Sus scrofa: one gene and its partners. The protein of the gene in region 4 binds, or shares a complex with, the protein of the main gene of each other region. Links are inferred from orthologs where the notes say so. Each region holds a gene or a part of one and is shown on either strand. Other genes may lie near its edges.

Region 1 (4,589 bases), on a different chromosome or scaffold from region 4:
GCCACAGCAACATGGGATCCAATCCATGCTTTCGACTTACACCACAGCTCACGGCAACGCTGGATCCTTAACCTACTGAGCGAGGCCAGGGATCAAATTTGCATCCTCATGGATACTAGTCAGATTCGTTTCTGCTGAGCCATGAAAGGAACTCCTTTTTTTTTTTTTTTTTTCTGGAGGAGGCATTTGATTTTCTCACACAGGCACCCCAGGAAAAGACTATGCTGGCAGAGGTGGTGTTCCCTTCTAAAAGATTTCTTTCTTTTCTTGACTCTTATCCAAAGATTGAAAGAAGCCATAAGTATAAGCAAAGACCAGGAGGCACGGTTCCAGGCCAGCCACCCAAACCTCAGGAGGCTGAATGACTCAGGTCAGTGGGCTTGCTTTCCTACCTAACACTTGGGTTGGGTGGAGGGAGCACCTGCTGGGTGAGGGAGGCGGAGAGGAGGAAGTGGGAGCCTGCACTGCAGCTCTGAGCTGAGTGTGAAAGGCTGCTTGCAGGGAAACCCCTGTGGTAAGTGGAGTCATAGCCCCTAAAACATCCATACCCCAGCCCCAGGCCCTGGGAACATCAGGTCATGTAGCAAAGGGGGTTGTGGGTACAAAGGGAGCACAGTTGCCCAACTTGAGGTGAAAAGATGATCCTGGGTTTTCCAGGTGGACCCAGTAAAACCGCAAGGCTGCCCTGCACGTGCGAAGGAGGCAGTAAAGAGGGAGATTGGAAGGTGAAGGCAGGGCCCCTGGCTGAGGCGTGGCCTCCAGGAGCCATAGGAGGTGGGGGCAGATTCTCCCTGAGAATCTCTAGCCAGAGGCCAGCCCAGTGAGCCCCAGGTTGCAGCTCTGGCCTCCAGAACTGAAGGTGGTCTATGGGGGTTTGCTGTGGTGGCCCTCAAGCCCGGGCAGATGGGAGTGCAGGGTAGAATCTGTTTTGTGTCAGGTCATCCTGTCAGTATCAAATGACAAGCCCAGAACCAGCCATTATCTGGAAAGGAGTGGAGGCATCCTGGGGGCTTCTTTGGACCCCTAGAGAGCCAGGCCCATCACAAATAGCCAGGTGCCCCCTGCCATGTGATTGACACAGCCGAGGGGAGGCCTGGTGGAGGAGGCATTGGAGAGAGACAGAGCTATCTGGAAAGGCCAAAGCCACAGAGGAAGTGAGAGAACTAAAGTGCATAACACAGCCAGCTCGTTGTGCCCAAGGGAGTGGAGTAGAGCCCTGCACCGAAAGACAATTTTAAGGAACTAAAAGGAGTTTCATTTGTAGGGTGTGTATTAGCTTAAGAGAATTGGTGAAGCAAAAAAACAAAACAAAACAAAACAAAACAAAAAAAACAGGCTTGTGTAAATCGTGCTGGGGGGGAAATACAGCAAATCTAGAAAGAGATATTCCCCAGAAGATGTGAACTGGCCTGACAGGGCTTTCTTGTGTGAACTCAGGAGCTGAAGGTCAGGAGGATTCTTGGGGCAAATGTGCATCATCTGACATTCCTCTTTCCTGAGCCGTGAGGTTTTGCCTGATGCAACACCACTGCTATGTCATTACATGTGTCAATCTGTCTCTTTTCCTGTGCACCAGGGGCTGACCAGGCCCTCCAGAGGTTGGAGGTCTTTGATCTCCGAAGGGTAGGCCCCCAGGAAGCATCTCTCCCTTCCCCACAAGCCTGCCAGGGCTCCTTCCCCTCCCCCAACCCACTCCCACAGCCATCGCTCTGGCCTTAGAACTGACCATTATAGTCCTTCCACCTGTTTCCCAGACTAAGATTTTGTAAAGCAGCATTTCAAGGGATGTCAGTTAACCCATCTCCTGGTGTCTTCTTGTGAATCCAGACTGCATCCCTGGAGGGGCTGGATCTGCTGTGAGCTCTGAGGCGTATCCAAAGAACCCTCACCTCCAAGCCTATCATCAGAAAATCGACAGCAATCTGGGTAAGACGGGGCACCACCACGTTCAAGGTTCACCTGCCCGGGGCAGCGTGTGCCCAGCCCACTGGCGTCTGCCTCTGTCTCCCCTCTCAGCAAATCCAAGAGTCATGACCACTCCCCCCTGATCTCTGGAGCCTGTCCACTTGTCTTTGTCTCCACCTCTCCTCTGTCTGCTTGTCTCCGTCTCTACCTCTCTTCTGTCCACTTGTTTCCATCCCCACCTCTCATCTGCCTGCTTGCTTCAGTTCCCTGGACTCTGCCCTAGAGCCCAGGTGGAAGGGATGTCTGCGGATCTGGCCACTCCAACATGGGACGCTAGCGAGTCCACCAACCCCTAAACAAAATTTCCCCACCAGGAAAGGGTGTCATTGATGCCTGATGGGGAAATATCAGGGAGTGGAATTCAGGAATTGGGGGAGGGAGGCAGGAAGAAGGCTAAGTAGAGCCCACTGGGGGTGTGCAGGGAGTCCTCAAACCTGCAGCACTGGCCAGCACACAGTGGCCCAAAGGAGGGCTGTGTGGACCTCAGGGACCCCGGGACAGCTGTCCACAGTCTCTGCTAGCGAGGCCATACCACTACCCTGGGCACAATTCCTCTCCCTCCTGGCACACCCATCTTTGTCAGGGACCCTTGCCACATGGCCCTGCTTGTCAGGCTTTTCACCCCGGCACAGCCTCTTGCCTGTCCCAGCTGCTGGATCCTGGGGTAACCCATGGAGCTCAAGGCACAGGCTTCAGTCAAGCATAGAACTAAAGGCAGAGGCTTTAGGAAGCATAGAACTGAAGACTACCTTTTTTGAAAAAAACCTGATTCTAGAGTTTCTGTTGTGGCTCAGTGGTAACAAACCCAGCTAGTATCCATGAGGATGGCGGTTCGATCCTTGGCCTCACTTAATGGGTTAAGGATCCGGTGTTGCCGTGAGCTGCTGTGTAGTCTGCAGATTCTGCTTGGATCCAGCATTGCTGTGACTGTGGCATAGGCCAACAGCTGTAGCTCCAATTCAGCCCCTAGCCTGGGAACCTCCATGTATCACAGTTGTGGCCCTAAAAAAAATTTTTTTTGTCCTTTTAGGGCCACACATATGGCAGTCCCCAAGCTAGGGGTCCAATCGGAGGTACAGCTTCCAGCCTACACCACAGCTCAGGGCAATGCCGGATCCTTAACCCACTGAGCAAGGCCAGGGATCAAACCGCCATCCTCATGGATACTAGTTGGGTTTGTTAGCTGCTGAGCCACAATGGGAACGCCTAAAAATTTTTTTTAATTAATTTAAAAACCTGATTCTGCTTAGATTCGTAAAGCCACTGCTAGGGATTCATATATTTTGACCCTTTAAAAAAAAAAAAAAAACACACACACACACAATGTGCATAAATTCCTGGCCAGGGATTGAACCCAAACCACAGCAGTGACAATACCAGATCCTTAACCCACTGAGCCACCAGGGAACCCCATGCTTAGCTGTCTTTATGTTACTGTGCTGTGGAAGCCCTTCAAATACTCCTGAGGCTGACCACGTCCTTATAGGCATTGTTCCTTATGGACATTTTGTTGAACTTGAACTTAAGCAGTTGTCACCTGACTGTTGAACTTAAGCAGTTGAACTTAAGCAGTTGTCAGAAGAACCTTTGGGAGTTCCTATCGTGGCTCAGCAGTTAATGAACCCAATTAGCATCCATAAGGACTTGGGTTCGATCCCTGGCCTCACTCAGTGGGTTAATGATCTGGGGTTGTCGTGAGCTGTGGTGTAGGTTGCAGATGCGGCTCAGATCCCGAGTTGCTATGGCTGTGACTGTGGCTGGCGGCTACAGCTCCAATTGGACCCCTGGCTGGGGAACCTCTATAATGCCATGGATGCAGCCCTAAAAAGACAAAAAGACCAAGAAAAAAAAAAAAAAAGAACCTTTGCCAAAAGTAGTGCACTCCAGGAGTTCCTGTTGTGGCTCAGTAGTTAACGAATTACTAGGAACCATGAGGTTGTAGGTTCAATCCCTGGCCTCACTCAGTGGGTTAAGGATCCAGTATTGCTGTGAGCTGTGGTGTAGGTCACAGATGCAGTTCGGATCCCGAGTTGCTGTGGCTGTGGCGTAAGCCAGCAGCTACAGCTCCAATTAGACCCCTAGCCTGGAAACCTCCATATGCCTCGGGAGCGGCCCCAGAAAAGGCAAAAAGACCAAAAAAAAAAAAAAAAATTGCACTCCAGTTACCTGGGGCTTGGCCCAGATATCAGAGCACCTTTTGTACTTAATGCCTCTTGCCTAGGGACCCTCGGCTGCAGGGCCTATGCACCCAGGTTATGCAGAGGCCACTGCCTCCCCAACTACCAAGTAGACAAAGGAAGTGGTCCAGCCCAGCCCTTGGAAATGCAAGCTAGCTGTCGTACCCGGGAACATCTGTTCACGGATCTGGGAGTGGCAGCAATGCACGTGTGAATGTGGGAAAGCATGAGTTTTCATAACATAGATAAAGGGACCTCACAGAACCTGGGTCCAGTGGGAACATCTGTCATTCATGAGTCTTCTGGTAAAGCACCCCAGTGCAGGACAGGGTCAGAGCCCCCATTTCTCCTGCCACTTGCAGAATAGACTGGGGAACCTGGGGCCAGAGCAGGTTTGTGCTGGGGCTCCTGTCAGACAGAGAGAGCTTCAGTTCCGTCTCAGATGCG
Region 2 (5,305 bases), on a different chromosome or scaffold from region 4:
GGTTAAGGATCTGCCATTGTTGTGAGGGGCAGTGTAGGTTACAGATCCAGCCTGGATCCCAAGCTGCTGTGGCTGTGGCTGTGGCCAGAGGCAACAGCTCTGATTGGACCCCTAGCCTGGGAACTTCCATATGCTACAGGTACCAGATGGCCTAAAAAAAAAAAAAAAAAAAAGATGTGGGAGATATTATTCTAGCCTTTAGCTAGCAGAGAACCCTGGATCAAAGACTTTTACTGCTTTTCCCACCTTCTTTTTAAAGCTGGCTCAGCAAGATTCTTAACAGTTTTCCACCACCTGCCTAACAACTCCTGGGGAAGGCCTAGAGCCCTAAGAGGATTTTCTGGAGCCAATATTTTTGCCCTGGGGAAGGCCAGATCCAAATGATTGTCAAGGGCAGCCTTCAAAGGGAAAGTCTCCTAGGAGAGAAGCCTCAGAAGACACAGGCTGACTGAGCCATCCATTTGTCTCAGGAAATGCCTCCATGGGTCCGCACCCACCTCCACCCTCTCCATGCACCCCAGCCCCAGTCCTTGAACCCATTCCCTGGACCCCAGCACCAATCAGTGGAGTAGAGCAGAATCAGAAGTGGGGAATCTGCTCCCATCAATTCCCAATGCAGGTGAAAAGGCAGACTGCCCTCCTGAACATCTGCCACCAAGACAGCCAATCCCCAAACCCCCAAGAATCTTCCTTCCCCCTCTTCCTCTGGCCCCCAGTAGGCTCCCCATTGTCTCACTGTGGCTTCCAGATCCTCTGTCTTGTTGCGGAGATGGTCCAAGTTTTCTCCCCGGGCCAGGATCCGCTCCACATTCTGGGTCATAATATTCTTGACTCCCTCCACTTCACTCCGCAGGTTCCGCACGCGGTCATCCCCTCCACCGCCACTGGCCTCCTCCTGGGCAGCAACAAAACGGTTAATTAAGCCAAGTGGTGGAGGGACTGAGACTCAGCCTCAGAGGCCAGAGGAGGGGGAGGCCTAAGATGGACTTAAGCTTTTGTAATGCTTGAACTATTTACAAAGAGAAGGTTTTCTGCTAAGTATGCATGTAATAAAAAAACAAATGCAGGAGTTCCCGTCATTGTGGCTCAGCAGAAACAAATCTGACTAGCATCCATGAGGTGGCAGGTTCGATCCCTGGCCTTGCTCAGTGGGTTAAGGATCCAGCATTGCTGTGGTGGTGTAGGTCACAGACTTGGCTTGGATCCCACGTTGCTGTTGCTGTGGCTGTGGTGTAGGCCAGCGGCTATAGGTCTGATATGACCCCTAGCCTGCAAACTTCCATATGCCAAGGGTGCAGCCCTAAAATAAAAAGATTTAAAAAAAAACAGGATTTTGGAGTTCCCGTTGTGGCACGGTGGTTAACGAATCCAACTAGGAGCCATGGGGTTGCAGGTTCAGTCCCTGGCCTTGCTCAGTGGGTTAAGGATCTGGCGTTGCTGTGAGCTGTGGTGTAGGTTGCAGACATGGCTCAGATCCTGCATTGCTGTGGCTGTGGTGTAGGACGGCGGCTACGGCTCCAACGAGACCCCTAGCCTGGGAACCTCCATATGCCGCGGGAGTGGCCCTAGAACAGGCAAAAAGACAAAAAAATAAAATAAAATAAAGCATCTGGAGTTCCCCAGTGGCTCAGGAAGTTAAGGATCTGGTGTTACCACTGCTGTGGCTCTGGTTACAGCTGAGGCTTGGGTTTGATCCTTGGCCTGGGAACTTCCACATGCCATAGGGCACAGTGAAAAAAACCTACATGTTTAAGCCCCAGATGGTAAAGAGCCATGCTAGGAGACATTGAATCAAACCTCTTTGTGGGTTCTCAGGGTGCATGACAAATACCACTACCAAACCCCTCTCCACTGCTTCTTTTCCTCAAAGAGGGTTCCAGGAGACAGCTGAGCTGGCATTTCACAGTGCACAGCCCCACTGCTCCTCACCAACTCTCAAATCCCATAGGGTCCTCAGTAAAAATGCCTGTGCCAGCCCGCAGACCACCCTCACCCAGCTCAACTCTCCCTCTCTCTCCGGACCTCCTGGGCAGCCTGATGGCTGTGACCCAGAACAACAGCCACCAGGCTACAAGTCCCTCACAAGGCCCCACCAGAGAGCCGTTGGGCCACAAACTTCTGCTTTCCCCACCATTTAGCGTCATGAGCCGGCACCACGCCACTGCCTGCTTAAGCAAGTATAAAATAAAAACAGCAGCCTGGGCGTTGGGGGAAATGGAGGGCAAGTTCTTCCTGGCCTGATGCCTCATCCCCAGGCTTTATGATAAGGTTTTTGAACAGGGAGGGAGAAACTCCCTCCCTGACCCACTAGACTTCTGGTGTGGGTCCAAACGAGACACTCACAGAAAACCCACTTCTGACTTTCAAACCCTTAGCTCTCTTCCTCACGTTAATGGAGATGAGCTAGATTCCTTGGATTCAGGGGAGAGACACATTCTTTGCGTTTCTGTACAAGAATAGAGAGAAAGGCAAGGGGGATTCCGCCGCTGGGCTGGAACCTGCGACGGGAACAGCAGAGGCGCTGCCCAGGAATGTCACAACACCCGCGGGCCCGCCGGCTGGAGAAGGAGAAGAATTAGGACTCCCCCACCCCCACCGGAGCCCCCCTCCCGGCCGGCTCCGGGGTCAGGGGAGGGAGGGAGCGAAGAAGGAGCAGGAACACCCGCCCAAGGCAGCTCCGAACTATTTGCAGACGAACTGTCAAAGAAGACAGGCCACAGCGCTGGCTCGGCCCTCTGGACTTTGCCACTAACTTTCCTTTGCTGATCCCCAGCCCTCCCCCTCGAACCCTCTGGCTGGGCTTGAAATCAGCCCCTTCTTAGTCTCCAGCTCTCTCACCATGTCTCCGAGCGGCTGGGGCCTGGCGGCAGCAGAACTCGCCTAAATCGGTTTCCTCCCGGGCGGCCGTCGGTTCACTTCCTGCTTGTCCAACTTTCAGCCCGCCCCCGCCCACCTCGCATCCCGAGCCGCTCCGGCCACACCTCGCGCAGGTTCCCCAGGTAGGCGGGCACCCTCCACAGCCCTCCCAGTCTCCTCCCCTGCCAGGGCTTAGGCTTAAAGCCACAGGGCTCCCTGGCACCACAATTCTTCTCACGTATCAGGAACCAGGGAAAAAAAGATCAGGCAGCCCTCCTAGGTTTACTGACGTAGAAAGGGCAGCCATCTCCTCCCCCTCCCGCTTTTTTTGGCCGCCTCACGGCACATGGAATTCCCAGCCGACCAAAGCAGCCTGCGGCAACGCTGGATCCTTAACCCACTGTGCTGAGCTGGGGATCAAACCTGCGTCCTGGAGCTGCAGAGACGCTGCCAATCCTATTGCACCACAGCGGGAAGTCCCGCTTCTTTTTCTAAAGTCCTGAATATCTGACCCTCAATTCTTGGAGATTGAACTCAACTTTCAGCACCTTGTTCGCATGGGAACAGGATGCAGAGATGAACACTTTCTGGACAGACCTTGCTCCCAAGTCTGTTTTAGTGTAGAAAGCACTAAAACCCCCAGAGTCTGGAATGCTGGGATTCTGGGCTCTGGTGTCAGAAGGCTGCAGACCCTGAGTGAACCTCTGCCTGTCTGGGTTTTGCAGGTGCTGACGCTGACCTCAGAGGGTGGTGGTGAGGAATAAAAGGATAGAACATAGCATGTGCCTAGCACAGTGTCTGGAACCAAGGGCTGCCCACTGCTGGAATCAGGAAATGATGGCTCACCAACCCCCCTTTCCTTCCAGAGTTCAACAGTCCTGCATGTACGTCTCTTCAGGAGCCACCATGTGGGTTGGTGAGCCCTGTCAGAAACAGTCAGACGACTGCCCTATGGAGCAGGAAAAGGGGCCCAGGGCAAAGGATTTTTCCACCAACCTGGCTCCAGGCCAGAGAAAATCCACTCTTCCTGGATGGTGTTTATCAAGACAGAAGAACAATAACAGGGACGTGCAGAAGGGAACAAACATTCCTGTCCCATCCCAGAAGAGGTAACAGTTCCAAGAGGGAAATGTTAGTTTCTCTGACAAATGCTTTTTTAAAGAGTCTCATACATTTTGGACCTCTGGAGCATTTTGAGACCCTTAATTTTAATTTATAATGAAACCTTCTTCCAATTAGATAAGATTATTATCTTCTGCAGCTCTGAAATTTGGTGCATAGTAACAGCCTGCTTTCAGAGAATGTGGCTCCTGGACTCCTCAGCATCCTTAGAAAGGCTACAATGTGGCCAAGAAGAGGGAGGTCAGAACCTTTGATCTGTACTTGCTGCTGTCTAGTACAGTAGCCTTGGACCACAAGTGGCTGTTCAACATTTGAAATGTGGCTAGTCTGAACTCTGATGAGATTTAAGAGTAAATGAAACACACACACGGATTTCAGGTGTTCCCTTTGTGGTGCAATGGAAACAAATCCAACTAGGAACCATGAGGTTGCGGGTTCAATCCCTGGCCTTGCTCAGTGGATTAAGGATCCGGCATTACCGTTAGCTGTGGTATAGGTTGCAGATGCGGCTCGGATCCCGCATTGCTGTGTCCGTGGCACAGACTGGCAGCTGTATTCCAATTAGACCCCTAGGCTGGGAACCTCCATATGCCATGAATGTGGCCCTAAAAACAAAACAAACAAAAAACCCCCACAGATTTCAAAGACTTATTATGAGAGAATACCTGTAAATCTCAGTAATTTTATATGTTAATGATAAGTTGAAACAATGTTTTGGATATATTGAGTTAAAAATATATATAACTGTTAAAGGGAGTTCCCGTCATGGCTCAGTGGTTAATGAATCTGGCTAGGAACCATGAGGTTGCAGGTTCGATCCCTGGCCTCACTCGGTGGGTCAAGGATCCGGTGTTGCCGTGGGCTGTGGTGTGGGTCGCAGACATGGCTCGGATCCTGCGTTGCTGTGGTTCTGATGTAGGCTGGTGGCTACAGCTCTGATTGGACCCCTAACCTGGGAACCTCCATATGCTGCGAGTGCGGCCCTAGGAAAAACAAAAGGCAAAAAAAAAAAAAAAAAAAAAAAAAATATATATATATATATAAAACTGTTTAGGATTCGGTATTGTTACTGCTGTGGTGCAGGTTTGACCCCTGGCCTGGGAACTTCCGCATGCTGCCAGTAAGGCCAAAAAAACAAAATAGATAGATGGATGGTAGATAGATAATAGATAGATATAAATAAGTTATTTTCGCCTGTTTCTTTTCTTTTAATAGAAAAATTTTAATTACCAATGTGGCTCTAATTATATTTTATTAGATGCTGATCTATATACCTTAACATTTATGTGACACTGACAGTCTTCTGTAACCTCAGTTACCTCACTGT
Region 3 (5,066 bases), on a different chromosome or scaffold from region 4:
TCCTCTTTCTCCAAGGTCTCTCAACTCGTCGCTCTCCCACCTCCAGGGGCAGGCCCCCGACCCCTCCCCGCGCTCCCCCGCTGGGCTCCCGGGCTCGACCTCCAAGTTTGCCAATAGATTCCCCGCCCGCCCCCCGCCGGCTCAGGGCTCTGTGCCGGTCGAGAGCTCACCTTCGGGACTGGGCTCCGCCATGGCTTCCAGCATCGCCCCCTCCCCTCCTCCCGGTCCGGCGCCCCCCTCCCCCGAGCCGGGGATCCCGGTGCCGCCTCCGGTGCTCGGTGCTCCTACTGCCTCGCTTCACAGAGGTGTCTGCCTCGGCCTGGTTGTGACTCGAGTCCGCTAGCCGCTGCCGCCACCTCCCTTTACCACTGCCTCCCGCACTCCCGGACCGGGCCCCCTCCCCCCGCGCCGCCGGCCGCCTGCTCCCTCCTCCTCCTCCTCCTCCTCCTCCTCCTCTCCTCCCTCCTCCTCCCTCCCTCCTCCCTTCGCGGGCGCCGACGCGCAGTGCATCAAGGGGATTGTGGTCCGTCTGGGGAAGACGGAAAGGGGACTTCATACGCCTCCGGAACTTCAGTTCCCAGCAAACCATGGGTTGGCGCAGGCGTACTAAACCGCTCTCCTCCCCCGGGGAGTGGCGGGGAGATTGGGAGCAGAGGGGAAAGCGGAAGAGTGCGCGTAGACTTCTGGGAAATGTAGGCGGGGCGGGGCTAAGAAAGAAGGGGAAGAAGGGATTAGATCTCTCGGCCACCATACTGCCTCATTCTGCGGCTTCTTTTTCCACCCGGGGACCGCCCCACTTCCGGCTACACGGAGACTTGGCTGCTGGGAGATGAAGTTCTCGTGGTAATAATGGCTCCCTCCTCCCAGTCTTCTCCCTAACTTGTATTCCACTCTACTGGAACCCGCACGCCGGCACAGAGTCTGGCTAAGGGACATATACCTGAGGACAGAGTTCTTTTACCAGCTCCACACTTGGAAAAAACCCTTCCTTGATTCAAAAGGTTATGACAAACTTGGATGGGATATCCAAAGCAGGTACTTTCAAACTTTCTCCACTGGAACCCACAGTAGAAAACCAACTTTTTTTAACCTCAAGCCCCTATCTATACACGGGTACATAACACAACTTTCATGAAATGATACTCAGAGTATTCCATCCATCACAACAAAAGCACACTTTCTCTGCACAAGGAAAAGCCCAACATAAGGAGAAGAAATAAAAATACATTACTATCCCTCCAACCTCCCTTTCCCCCATTGAGTAGAGAACAAAAGGCAGAGGGCAGCAACACAAAGCAAAATCCAGTTCAGCTTGGTGGTTTCCTCTTTATTGATGTGTATCCTACCTTCCCCGCCACAATTCAGTCCCTTCCATCTACCCCCCAAAAAGAAGGTAGTGAAAATAAGGGATTGTTGGGATCCTGAGCCCCCTGGGCAGTTAGAAAGGAAACAGAAACCAAAACGACCACTGGATGTGACAGAGATGGACAATCAAGAAGTCTAAAGCTGAGTGGGAAGGTGGTAGAGAAAGGGAAGGAAAGGAGTACTGGAGGCCATCTCCCCCATTAACCCTTGTTTTAAGAAGGGCTGGAGGAGAGTCTCAAACATTAGGAAGTGTAGGTCCTGAAGAAAGGAGGTGGTGTTTGAGCCTCAAGGAAGGACAGGTCGAGGAAGGTGGGCCACCTCTCTCTGTCTGAAGAATGGGACCCCCGACCTTAAGGGCAGCAGCTTCACAGACCATAGACACTTTCATCACTGTAGGCAATGTACAGAAAGAAGTCTTCTTCATGGTGTTCCTGGGGTGAAAGCAGAAAATGACAGTGCTCAGGCACCTGGGCTTTAATTACTTGAACCAACCACCACCCAGGCACATTCTTCCAAAAACATTCTTTTTGAAGACCCCCAAAACCAGTGCTTTGACTCTCCCTCTCACTTGCTCCAGACCCTAGCGGCTGAGCAGTATTATCCTAGCAGCAGTCCTAGGCATAAAAATCACACATTGTTCTCTGCTGCCTCGAAATGGGGAGGGGCCTGGGGAAAGTCCAGATCACAACAGTTGCTCCAACTCACTGTTCTCTTTTCTCTCTACTCCCACTGCCCTGTCTAAATCCCCAACCCAGAACTATAAGGAGATTTTAAAGCCAAATTTAAAACTGAGAGCTAAGTAAGCCAACTAGTCCAAGACCTGCTGACTTAAAACTTCCTGCCTCTCAAGTGCTTCCAACTCCTCTCCAAAGCCTCCACTACTTCCCAGACACTATACCTGGTACAGCTGACCCATCGTGGCACTGGTGGGTGGAATGACATTGTTGACAAAGAAAAACAAGGCATCCTCAGCTCGGAGATGAATTCGCTTCCGGATCAAGAAGTAGAACTGACCAACTGCCAAAGAAACAAGGTCTGAGAAAGTCTGAGGTCACAAACGCCTTCAAAAGAACAGCTGCTATGTGGAGCCTCCTCCAGCAGAGACCACATTCCCACCCCCCAGGAAGCAAACCTGGCTACTGGGTCAGGTTCTCACCTGTGAGATCAGAAGGCACCAGGTATTTCTTTTTATCTAGGTCTCCTATCCGAGCTTTGGGAGCCTTTTCTACTATCACCTGATAAAGAGACGAAAATTAGGAGACATTAGGTATACAGGCCCACAGCTCCACCTGTCAAGAACTCAACATTCCTAGCATCCCTACCTACCCCAGACTCATTTCTCTTTGTCTCTGAACACGCGGCGCAGTCCTGAGCAGGGATTCTGATCCCACTGACTCAAACTCACCTAAACCTCCAGAATCCCTGAATAGGACGTCATAACAAACAATGATTTTAATCAAACAGGCATGTCTTGTCTGGGCCGACTAGAGCTTCAATCTCAAGCACCCCCTGTGAAGCTCGGAATGTCAAACGCCCTACACGAATCCAAGGTCTAGCTCTCGCGCCTACATCCCCTTAAGCCTACATCCCCTAGCCCCCCAGTTCTAATGCTACCCCACTCCTTTCACCTCCAGTCCCACAGACAGCAGTTTCGGGCTCATTCCCAACCCTGCCACAGCTGGCAGCCTGATGCCCGCGCTGCGGGTCTCGGACTCAAGCCCAGGCTGTGGCGTCAGCGCCAGCGCCCCGCGCCCTCGGCCCTGGCTACTGTCCTCACCGGCACCCGGTCCGGGTATTTCTTTCGGATCTTCTCGCCCTCAGAGCGACGCTTCTCGAACGGATGCTCTTCTTTATACACGAACTTCATCCTCCCGGGAACCGGGTTGGACCGGGCTGGGCTGAGGGAACCCGGGGGGGCCGGGATGGGGGGCGGCGGCGACGGCGGCGACGCGCGGGCGGATTCAGCGGAGCGATCCCGGACCTTGCGCCACTTCCCTATTCACCAACCCCGCCCCCGGCCGTCAGAGGCCGCCCCACTCGCTATGTTACGCTCCTAGCTCAGTGGCCCCAACGCCACTAGCGTAGCGCCACCTACTGACCTCCCCCCTCACGCAATCAGCGTAATCGCTTTGGAATCAATTTACGGGCTACGCAGGCGACGTAGGAAAGGTGGCTGGCTTTTTGCTATCATAGAAAATAACTGAAAACCCATTTCCTGACTTTTTCCACAGGATGAAAAGGGCTTGGAGATGGTAATCATAATTTGAGACTTGGTTCTCCGAAAGTGCTTTTCAGAAGTAACAGAGGTAAAAAAGCAGATAATTACAAGGACAGCTATTCAGGAAAGGTGCTGGTACGCTGAAGGCGGCGGTTGACACCAAAACAAAGTAGTACCCCAATGGAGCAAGCGGTCTTTGGAAACAGAGGAGGGCAGAAACGAGACCTATGTTTGGAAAGACGCTTATGTTTCCAGAATGCTTAGGTTCCAGGAATGAGTGGACGAATAGGGACTGGAGAGGTCTGAAAGGTAGGGACTACGTCAGCGCGGAGGAACACAGTCTTCGCGGCTCACGGAGAGATCATGTGATCGCAGAGAAGGGCGGGGCGTCACGTGGCGAGTGCGAGGAAGTAGAGCCGGCTGCGGCTGGGGGAGCAGGGCCAAGGGGAGGGAGGTGGGGCGCCAGGGGCCTGGGACACCCCCCCCTCCGCCCCCGGGGGGCTGCGCCCGCTCAGCTAGTCTAAGTCAGGCCCGCAGACGAAGCCAGGCCTCTCCCAGCGTCCAGTTCTCTTTTCCTTTCAAACTTTTCTGTGTTACTGTTCGGAAGCTCACATTCCCTCTGGACACAGGGCTGTTCTTTCGCTCCCGGCCAGGGTATCATCCTGCCACTAAGACCCTCCCCGCCAGGGTGGCCAACACCCTCCCCTCAGGTCAACAGCTTGCTCCTTACCCTCTGCCCAGAGCCAGGGTGGGTGTGAACAAAGCCCCTTCATTTCCCCCAAACCCAGAGAAGGACCTAGGGCAGCTTTGGTTTCAAAGTTATAATGCATGGTTTAAGTAGACGAAAGAAAAAAAGAGAAAGCTCGTTACAGGTCTGAGGGACTCTAGGAAGAAGGGAAGATGGAAAAGGAAGGGAAGGGACAAGTTTGGGGAAAATCCAGTGGCCCAAAATCCCAGTTTCCCACCCACAGCCCAGCCCTTGGAGTGAAGAATTAGATCAGTTTTGTACAAGAGTTTTTAAAAAATCAAATCACAACAAAGCTGGCTTGGCTTCTCTTTGAGCCTCCCGGATTACCGAGTGTCTTTCGCTCACTCTGGCCAGTCCTGTCTCCACCAGACAATGTTTCAGCTCTCCCAGGCCTCCGCTTTATGTCCCAGTCTGGGGTTTCCGGGGAGTGCGAACACGAAGTTAGAGTGAGGCTGCTTCAGAATCTGGCCCATGTGTCCATCCAGACTCCATACGGAGTGCAGGGCTCCCAGGGCAGAGAGGGGTGGGAGGGGCAGACTCTGCCCAGGCAGTCCTCACCGTTGGCCAGGGCACCAGACGGCATCCCGAGGGCTCACCCTCCCTTCCCCCCCACCCCAACTCAGGTGGAGGGGGAGCAGCTGTCACCAGAGCCTATGTTGGTGAAGGTTTCGACTCAGCACAGAACGAACATCCGCGGTGAACCTGGGACGACAATTAACTTGCATTGGTAGAGCC
Region 4 (5,231 bases):
CTTTAAATATATATATATATACACACACACACATATATATAATGTGTATGTATATATACACAAATAAAAAAAGTCAACATATGAAAGAATAAATAATGTATGCCTGTGTGTATCTATATGAACGATATGCACATTCAGTTGACCCTTGAAAATATGGATTTGAACTGTGAGGGTCCACTTACACATGGATATTTTCCAGTAAGTACTACACTACAGGAGTCACAGTTGAGTCTGCAGATATGGAACCTCAGATACAAAGGGACAAATCATGGGATCTGAGTATCCGTGGATTTGCACGGCTTTGGATTTTAGTCTGTGACGGGTCCTGGAACCAGTTCCCTACAGATACCAAGGGATGATGGTATGTACAAATAGCTAGAAATATATATATATATAATACACACTCACACACACTTCCTAGATGTCTTCTGCCGGGCACTAGAAGCAGTGATACCCCAGTAGCAATGAACACACCTAGCACCTAAATCGTTGATGGTTAAAAAAATACCACTCTCCAAACCAACCAGGGGGTCCTTGGAGAAGTGGTGGATTCAAGGGCTGTGTCAAGGAAAACACAAGAGAGCCTGGAGCATCCTCTGGTGTCAAAAAGAAAAGAAGTTCTCAAAAAATAACGAGGACCTATGAAGAGGGCACAAGAAGCACCCTGAAAAAACTTCCAATGGCCAAAGCTGGAACAATTTAAGACATAAAATAAATAACCACAGTGTAGGATAATAACCAACAGAAAGATAAATGAATCTATACTGATACAAAAAATTAACAATAAATAAATGAGAAGAAGGGGCAGCTCTTCTTTACAGAAAAACTCCAGGAGTTCCCACTGTGGCGCAGTGGTTAACAAATCTGACTAGGAACCATGAGGTTGCACGTTCGATCCCTGGCCTTGCTCAGTGGGTTAAAGATTCGGCATTGCCATGAGCTGTGGTGTAGGTTGCAGACGAGGCTCAGATCCTGCGTTGCTATGGCTCTGGCATAGGCTGGTGGCTACAGCTCCGACTGGACCCCTAGCCTGGGAACCTCCATATGCCATGGGAGTGGCCTAGAAAAGGCAAAAAGACAAAAAAAAACAAAAACAAACCAAAAAAAACTCCAATTAATAAGTGAAGAAGGAATGAGAGAAACAGAAAACCACCATCGAGATTATCACAGTAACAATTACTGAAAGCAAGAAAAAGTAATGGATGCTCAAATCAGCTAATTAAAGTTTGAAAAGAAACTGAGTATTTGTCTTGTTTAAAAGTTCCCCAGGGGGAGTTCCCGTTGTGACTCAGCAGGTTAAAAACCTGACATAGTGTCCTCGAGGACTCAGGTTCAATCCCTGGTCTCACTCAGTGGGTTAAGGATCCAGCATTGCCACAAGCTGCAGTGTAGGTTGCAGATGCAGCTCAAAACCAGTGTTGCCCTGGTTGTGGCATAGACCTGCAGCAGGCTCTGACTCAACCCCTAGCCCAGGAACTTCCATATGCCACAGGTACATTCATAAAAAGGAAAAAAAAAAAAAAAGTTGTCAGAGTTCCCGCAGTGGTGCAGTGTGGGTCACTACGGAGGTGATCCCCAGTCTGGCAAAGGTGACTAAAGAATATGGTATTGCCACAGCTGCAGAGTAGGTCACAGCTTGGCTCAGATTCAATCCCTGGTCCAGGAACTTCCATATGCTGTGAGTGCAGCCAGAAAACAAAACAAAACAAAAATTAAACAAAGTTCTCCCCCAACATACTGATTAGTTACAAAGGGAAAAGTAGTAACTTTAGAGAATCCCAACAGATACCACCTTAACCAGTGATCAAGAGTAATTTCAAAAGCAGTGTCATATCACACACCTCCTTACATGATGGACTACTGAGAAGGGCATACACTTCTGTGACATCAACAAAAACGCATAACCCTAATCTCACCGGGAGAAAAAACATCAGACAAAACTCAACTGAGGGACTCTCTACAAAACAAATAACCAGGACTCTTCAAAAGTGTAAAGGACCTAAAAGACAAGAAAAGACTTAGAAGCTGTCGCAGACTGGAGGAGACTCAGGAGCCATGTTAACTAAATGCAATGTGGGGTCTTAGATTGGATCCTAGAACAGAAAAAGGACATTAGTATAAAAAAAAAAGATGAAATCTTAAGAAAGCTGATAGTTTAGTTAACGGTGTTGTACCTAAGTTGATTTCCTACTTTTGATATTTGTATTACGATTATATGAGATGCTAACATTAAAGGAAACTAGAAAACTCTCTATTACTTTTCTAACTCCTCCGTTATTGTAAAATTATTTCAAAATAAAGTCTTTTTTAAAAACGTGTTGAGCTGTTTCATGTAAGACAGGCCAAACATTTCTACATCAAATAACTGCAACCATATTCACTGCACAGACACTTGGCTCGGGGGCTGGGGATGGGGGAATGGCAGGTGCTTACAACTATTACCAGCTGAATACCATACCATTAGTTTCCAGTAAGGAAAAAGTACTGGGAGGTTAACCAAATTACTTCGGATTATTTATAAAGGAAAAGCCCTATTTCTCAGAAAAAGTCCAAAATTGCTGGCAACAAAAAAAAGTGATGAACATCTTCCAACATTTCCCCACACCAGTGGCACCGAATGTCTTCAGCCACGTCGCCCTGATTTGTTTCGGACAAGATTCTGACTTGGGGACGCGTTCCTAAATTTGGAAAGAAAAGTCAAGGCCCCTGGTCCTACCCTATAGTCCGCTCTCTGAGCCTCTGATTCCGAATTTTAAAAAAGGGGGAGTTAAACATGGGACCTTCTAAGAGCCACCTCCCGGTCTGGCTGACAGGACACTCCACCCTCTCGCTTCGGGTCCTCCCCTCACTACCTCGGAGCAGAGTAACCCACAGCGCACCCGGGCCACAGAAACCAAACGCCCCTCCCCCCACCCTCGCCGAGAACGGGTACGCGGACCAGTCTCAGGACGTAGACGCCCACGACGCTGACGACCTATGGCCCACAGTGCGTCACGGCAGGGCAGACGATAGAAACTTTTCCACCCTGAGACCCCAGGAGGCCGACCAGCTCCTCCGGTCGGCCGCCCTCTATACCCGCTTCGAATAGCGCCTCCAAAACCGAAACCATCACTTCTTGGAGCTGAGAGAAGCCCCACAGAGCTCGCACTTCCGAACTGATACCCTGCTTCCCGCCGGGCGCCCCTCCCGCGCGCGAGGTTGGCACCCGGCCTACCATGCCACACAGGGCCTGACACCCATGAGGCGGCCTGTCGCGAGCCCCTTACCTCCCGCCGGGGCGCTTGAGACCAGTAAGCGCGCACAGCGCAGGCGCGGGCGCGACGGGGCGGGGCACCACGATAGGCCTGCCGGGCTGCGCCACGCCCCCTCCCGCCCCGCTCCAGCCTCGAGGGGTGTGGCCGGCTGTCCCGTGAGTACAAGCGATGTTGCCACTCTGGGCTGAGCTTTAAGAGGTTGTCTTGAGTTATGGTCTGGGTTTGTAAGTCTGTTGCATTTTAGGTGTGAGACGATTCACATACGTATGGGCCTCTACATTTTGCAGGGTTTTTTTCTATCCATTTTCCTGTGTTCTAGGAATTTTATTAGTTGGCCAGGTGTTCTTACCTCTTTACACATTGAAACTAAAGCTCAGAAAGGTTGTGCCTTCTCCTTCTCGTCCTCCAAAACCCTCTTAGGTGTTCAGGGCAAAAGTCTTGACTGTTACAGGTGCAGAAATTGAAGCTTGGTCCAATGCTTCCCTCCCCTCCCTGACCTGCTCCTGCCTCCCACCAAACAGGTGGAGCCCTTAATGCCACTGTCTTATCCTAACTTTATAGATAATGACACTGAGGCTCCAAGAGTTTCTGCTGACTCACTCCAGTTCAGCCAGTTAGTGACAGAGTTGGAACTCCGAATGGGTTTTTTAATTTCCTTCCCAAGTTTTTCCAGTTACACCAGCTGCTACCAATGAACAAGCAGATGGTTGGCTTTGAAGCCCTGTTCTAGATCACAGGTCTCCTCGCTGGTTAGACTGACTTACAGATCCAGCCTTTTTAATATGTGTTTGAATATTCAGATGACTTGCTCAGAATGTATCCACTGAATGATACTGTCCTCAGAAGTCATAAGGATGTTCAAGCCATAGCTAAGTAAACTCAGCTCTTGGGGTCTTGCAGTGGAGTGAAAGTAGAAGTTGTGGATCAATAAATATTAGAGGTCTATAAGAATTCCCTTGAAAGCAATTTCTAAAGTAAAGCATAAAATCTGCTAAGCATTTTGGATTTTCTTTGTGAGTATAGTGAACACTGGTGTTTTTTTACTCTAGGAATGAGGTGGTGGTAAAATTTTAATTCTAAGGAGAAAAATTAAAGTATTATATAATACCATGGGAAAAATTTTTTATGCAAGGGTCAGTTAAACAGATCTTTTGAAGTAGAAGTGTTGGGTTTTTTTAAGGGCCGCTCCCGCTGCATATGGAGGTTCCCAGGCTAGGGTCAAACTGGAGCTGTAACTGCTGCCACAGCTCATGACTATAACTAGGCCACAGCCATAGCAATGCTGGATTCAAGCCACATCTGTGGCCTACAACACAGCTCCAGATCCTCAATCCACTGAGCAAGGACAGGGATTGAACCCACATCCTCATGAATACTAGTCAGGTTCGTTAACCACTGAGCCACTATAGGAACTCCTGAAGTAAAGGTCTTTTGAGTTAAGTTCTGAAAAAACTACCTCAAGTACACTAGGGAGGTGCAACACTCAAAGATTCTAAACCTGAAGCTAGGCTTCTAGATTATATGTATGTTTGCTATAAGTTAGGTCTATCAGGGAGGCTGATACACATATTTAATACACATAATTTGCTAAGAACAATGAACAAGCAGATAGTTGGCTTTGAAGCCCTGTCTAGATCACAGGTCTCCTCGCTGGTTAGACTGACTTATAGATCCAGCCTTTTTAATATGTGTTTGAATATTCAGATGACTTGCTCAGAATGTATGTAGAACTTTTTAATCTAACAATTCGTTAGCTTGATTTATAAATGTTACATATTTAGAAATATGGTATGTGGACCTCTTTTTGTACTTTTACCTGGGCCCTGAAGTTGTTAGGGACAGGCCTCCTGCTCCTAGCCTACATTTTCCTAAGATCCTAACTGAATCAGGAAGGCCAAATGAGACAAAACGGTAATAGATAAATAAATGGGGGGAAAAAAGAAAAATATTCTTTTAAGGCATTATGATTGCTTACTT

The links.
Region 1: the proteins of STX17 (region 4) and SNAP29 are in contact, whole or in part, in a crystal structure (PDB 4WY4), measured with the Homo sapiens proteins. The link is inferred for Sus scrofa from reciprocal best matches to the Homo sapiens genes STX17 and SNAP29. Residues at the interface, in NP_060389.2 of Homo sapiens: Glu170, Trp172, Glu173, Leu175, Glu176, Leu179, Ile180, Ser183, Val186, Thr187, Phe189, Ser190, Val193, Asn194, Gln196, Gln197, Ile200, Ile203, Ala204, Val207, Asn208, Ala210, Ala211, Val214, Glu215, Thr218, Leu221, Gly222, Ala224, Ala225; in NP_004773.1 of Homo sapiens: Arg52, Thr56, Ser59, Thr60, Arg62, Ser63, Leu66, Glu69, Ser70, Val73, Gly74, Ser77, Glu80, Leu81, Gln84, Val87, Leu88, Thr91, Met94, Val95, Lys97, Met98, Asp101, Leu102, Ile104, Ser105, His108, Ile109, Ser111, Ile112.
Region 2: the proteins of STX17 (region 4) and VAMP8 are in contact, whole or in part, in a crystal structure (PDB 7BV6), measured with the Homo sapiens proteins. The link is inferred for Sus scrofa from reciprocal best matches to the Homo sapiens genes STX17 and VAMP8. Residues at the interface, in NP_060389.2 of Homo sapiens: Ser171, Trp172, Thr174, Leu175, Asp178, Leu179, Glu181, Leu182, Leu185, Val186, Phe189, Leu192, Val193, Gln196, Glu198, Lys199, Ile200, Ser202, Ile203, His206, Val207, Ser209, Ala210, Asn213, Val214, Glu216, Gly217, Thr218, Asn220, Leu221; in NP_003752.2 of Homo sapiens: Gly9, Val13, Leu16, Gln17, Val20, Glu21, Val23, Lys24, Met27, Thr28, Asn30, Val31, Ile34, Leu35, Arg37, Gly38, Leu41, Glu42, Leu44, Arg45, Thr48, Glu49, Leu51, Glu52, Ser55, Glu56, Phe58, Lys59, Ser62, Gln63.
Region 3: the proteins of STX17 (region 4) and GABARAP are in contact, whole or in part, in a crystal structure (PDB 7BV4), measured with the Homo sapiens proteins. The link is inferred for Sus scrofa from reciprocal best matches to the Homo sapiens genes STX17 and GABARAP. Residues at the interface, in NP_060389.2 of Homo sapiens: Ala169, Glu170, Ser171, Trp172, Glu173, Thr174, Leu175, Glu176, Asp178, Leu179, Glu181, Leu182; in NP_009209.1 of Homo sapiens: Tyr5, His9, Lys13, Glu17, Lys20, Ile21, Arg28, Pro30, Lys46, Lys47, Lys48, Tyr49, Leu50, Pro52, Leu55, Gln59, Phe60, Phe62, Leu63, Lys66, Arg67, Phe104.

What each region holds. Positions count from the first base shown.
Region 1 is NC_010456.5:50,501,913-50,506,501, forward strand, and holds part of SNAP29 (synaptosomal-associated protein 29), read left to right. Parts: intron 1-284; coding exon 285-370; intron 371-1,827; coding exon 1,828-1,926; intron 1,927-4,589. UniProt on the Homo sapiens protein: SNAREs, soluble N-ethylmaleimide-sensitive factor-attachment protein receptors, are essential proteins for fusion of cellular membranes.
Region 2 is NC_010445.4:59,189,911-59,195,215, forward strand, and holds the start of VAMP8 (vesicle-associated membrane protein 8), read right to left. Parts: upstream 3,256-5,305; 5' UTR 2,842-3,255; coding exon 2,839-2,841; intron 896-2,838; coding exon 737-895; intron 1-736. UniProt on the Homo sapiens protein: SNAREs, soluble N-ethylmaleimide-sensitive factor-attachment protein receptors, are essential proteins for fusion of cellular membranes.
Region 3 is NC_010454.4:52,594,829-52,599,894, forward strand, and holds GABARAP (gamma-aminobutyric acid receptor-associated protein), read right to left. Parts: upstream 3,339-5,066; 5' UTR 3,233-3,338; coding exon 3,143-3,232; intron 2,601-3,142; coding exon 2,522-2,600; intron 2,383-2,521; coding exon 2,264-2,382; intron 1,797-2,263; coding exon 1,731-1,796; 3' UTR 1,302-1,730; downstream 1-1,301. Other genes in the region: PHF23 (PHD finger protein 23), read right to left, coding at 171-204. UniProt on the Homo sapiens protein: Ubiquitin-like modifier that plays a role in intracellular transport of GABA(A) receptors and its interaction with the cytoskeleton.
Region 4 is NC_010443.5:241,655,587-241,660,817, reverse strand, and holds the start of STX17 (syntaxin-17), read right to left. Parts: upstream 3,282-5,231; 5' UTR 3,215-3,281; intron 1-3,214. UniProt on the Homo sapiens protein: SNAREs, soluble N-ethylmaleimide-sensitive factor-attachment protein receptors, are essential proteins for fusion of cellular membranes.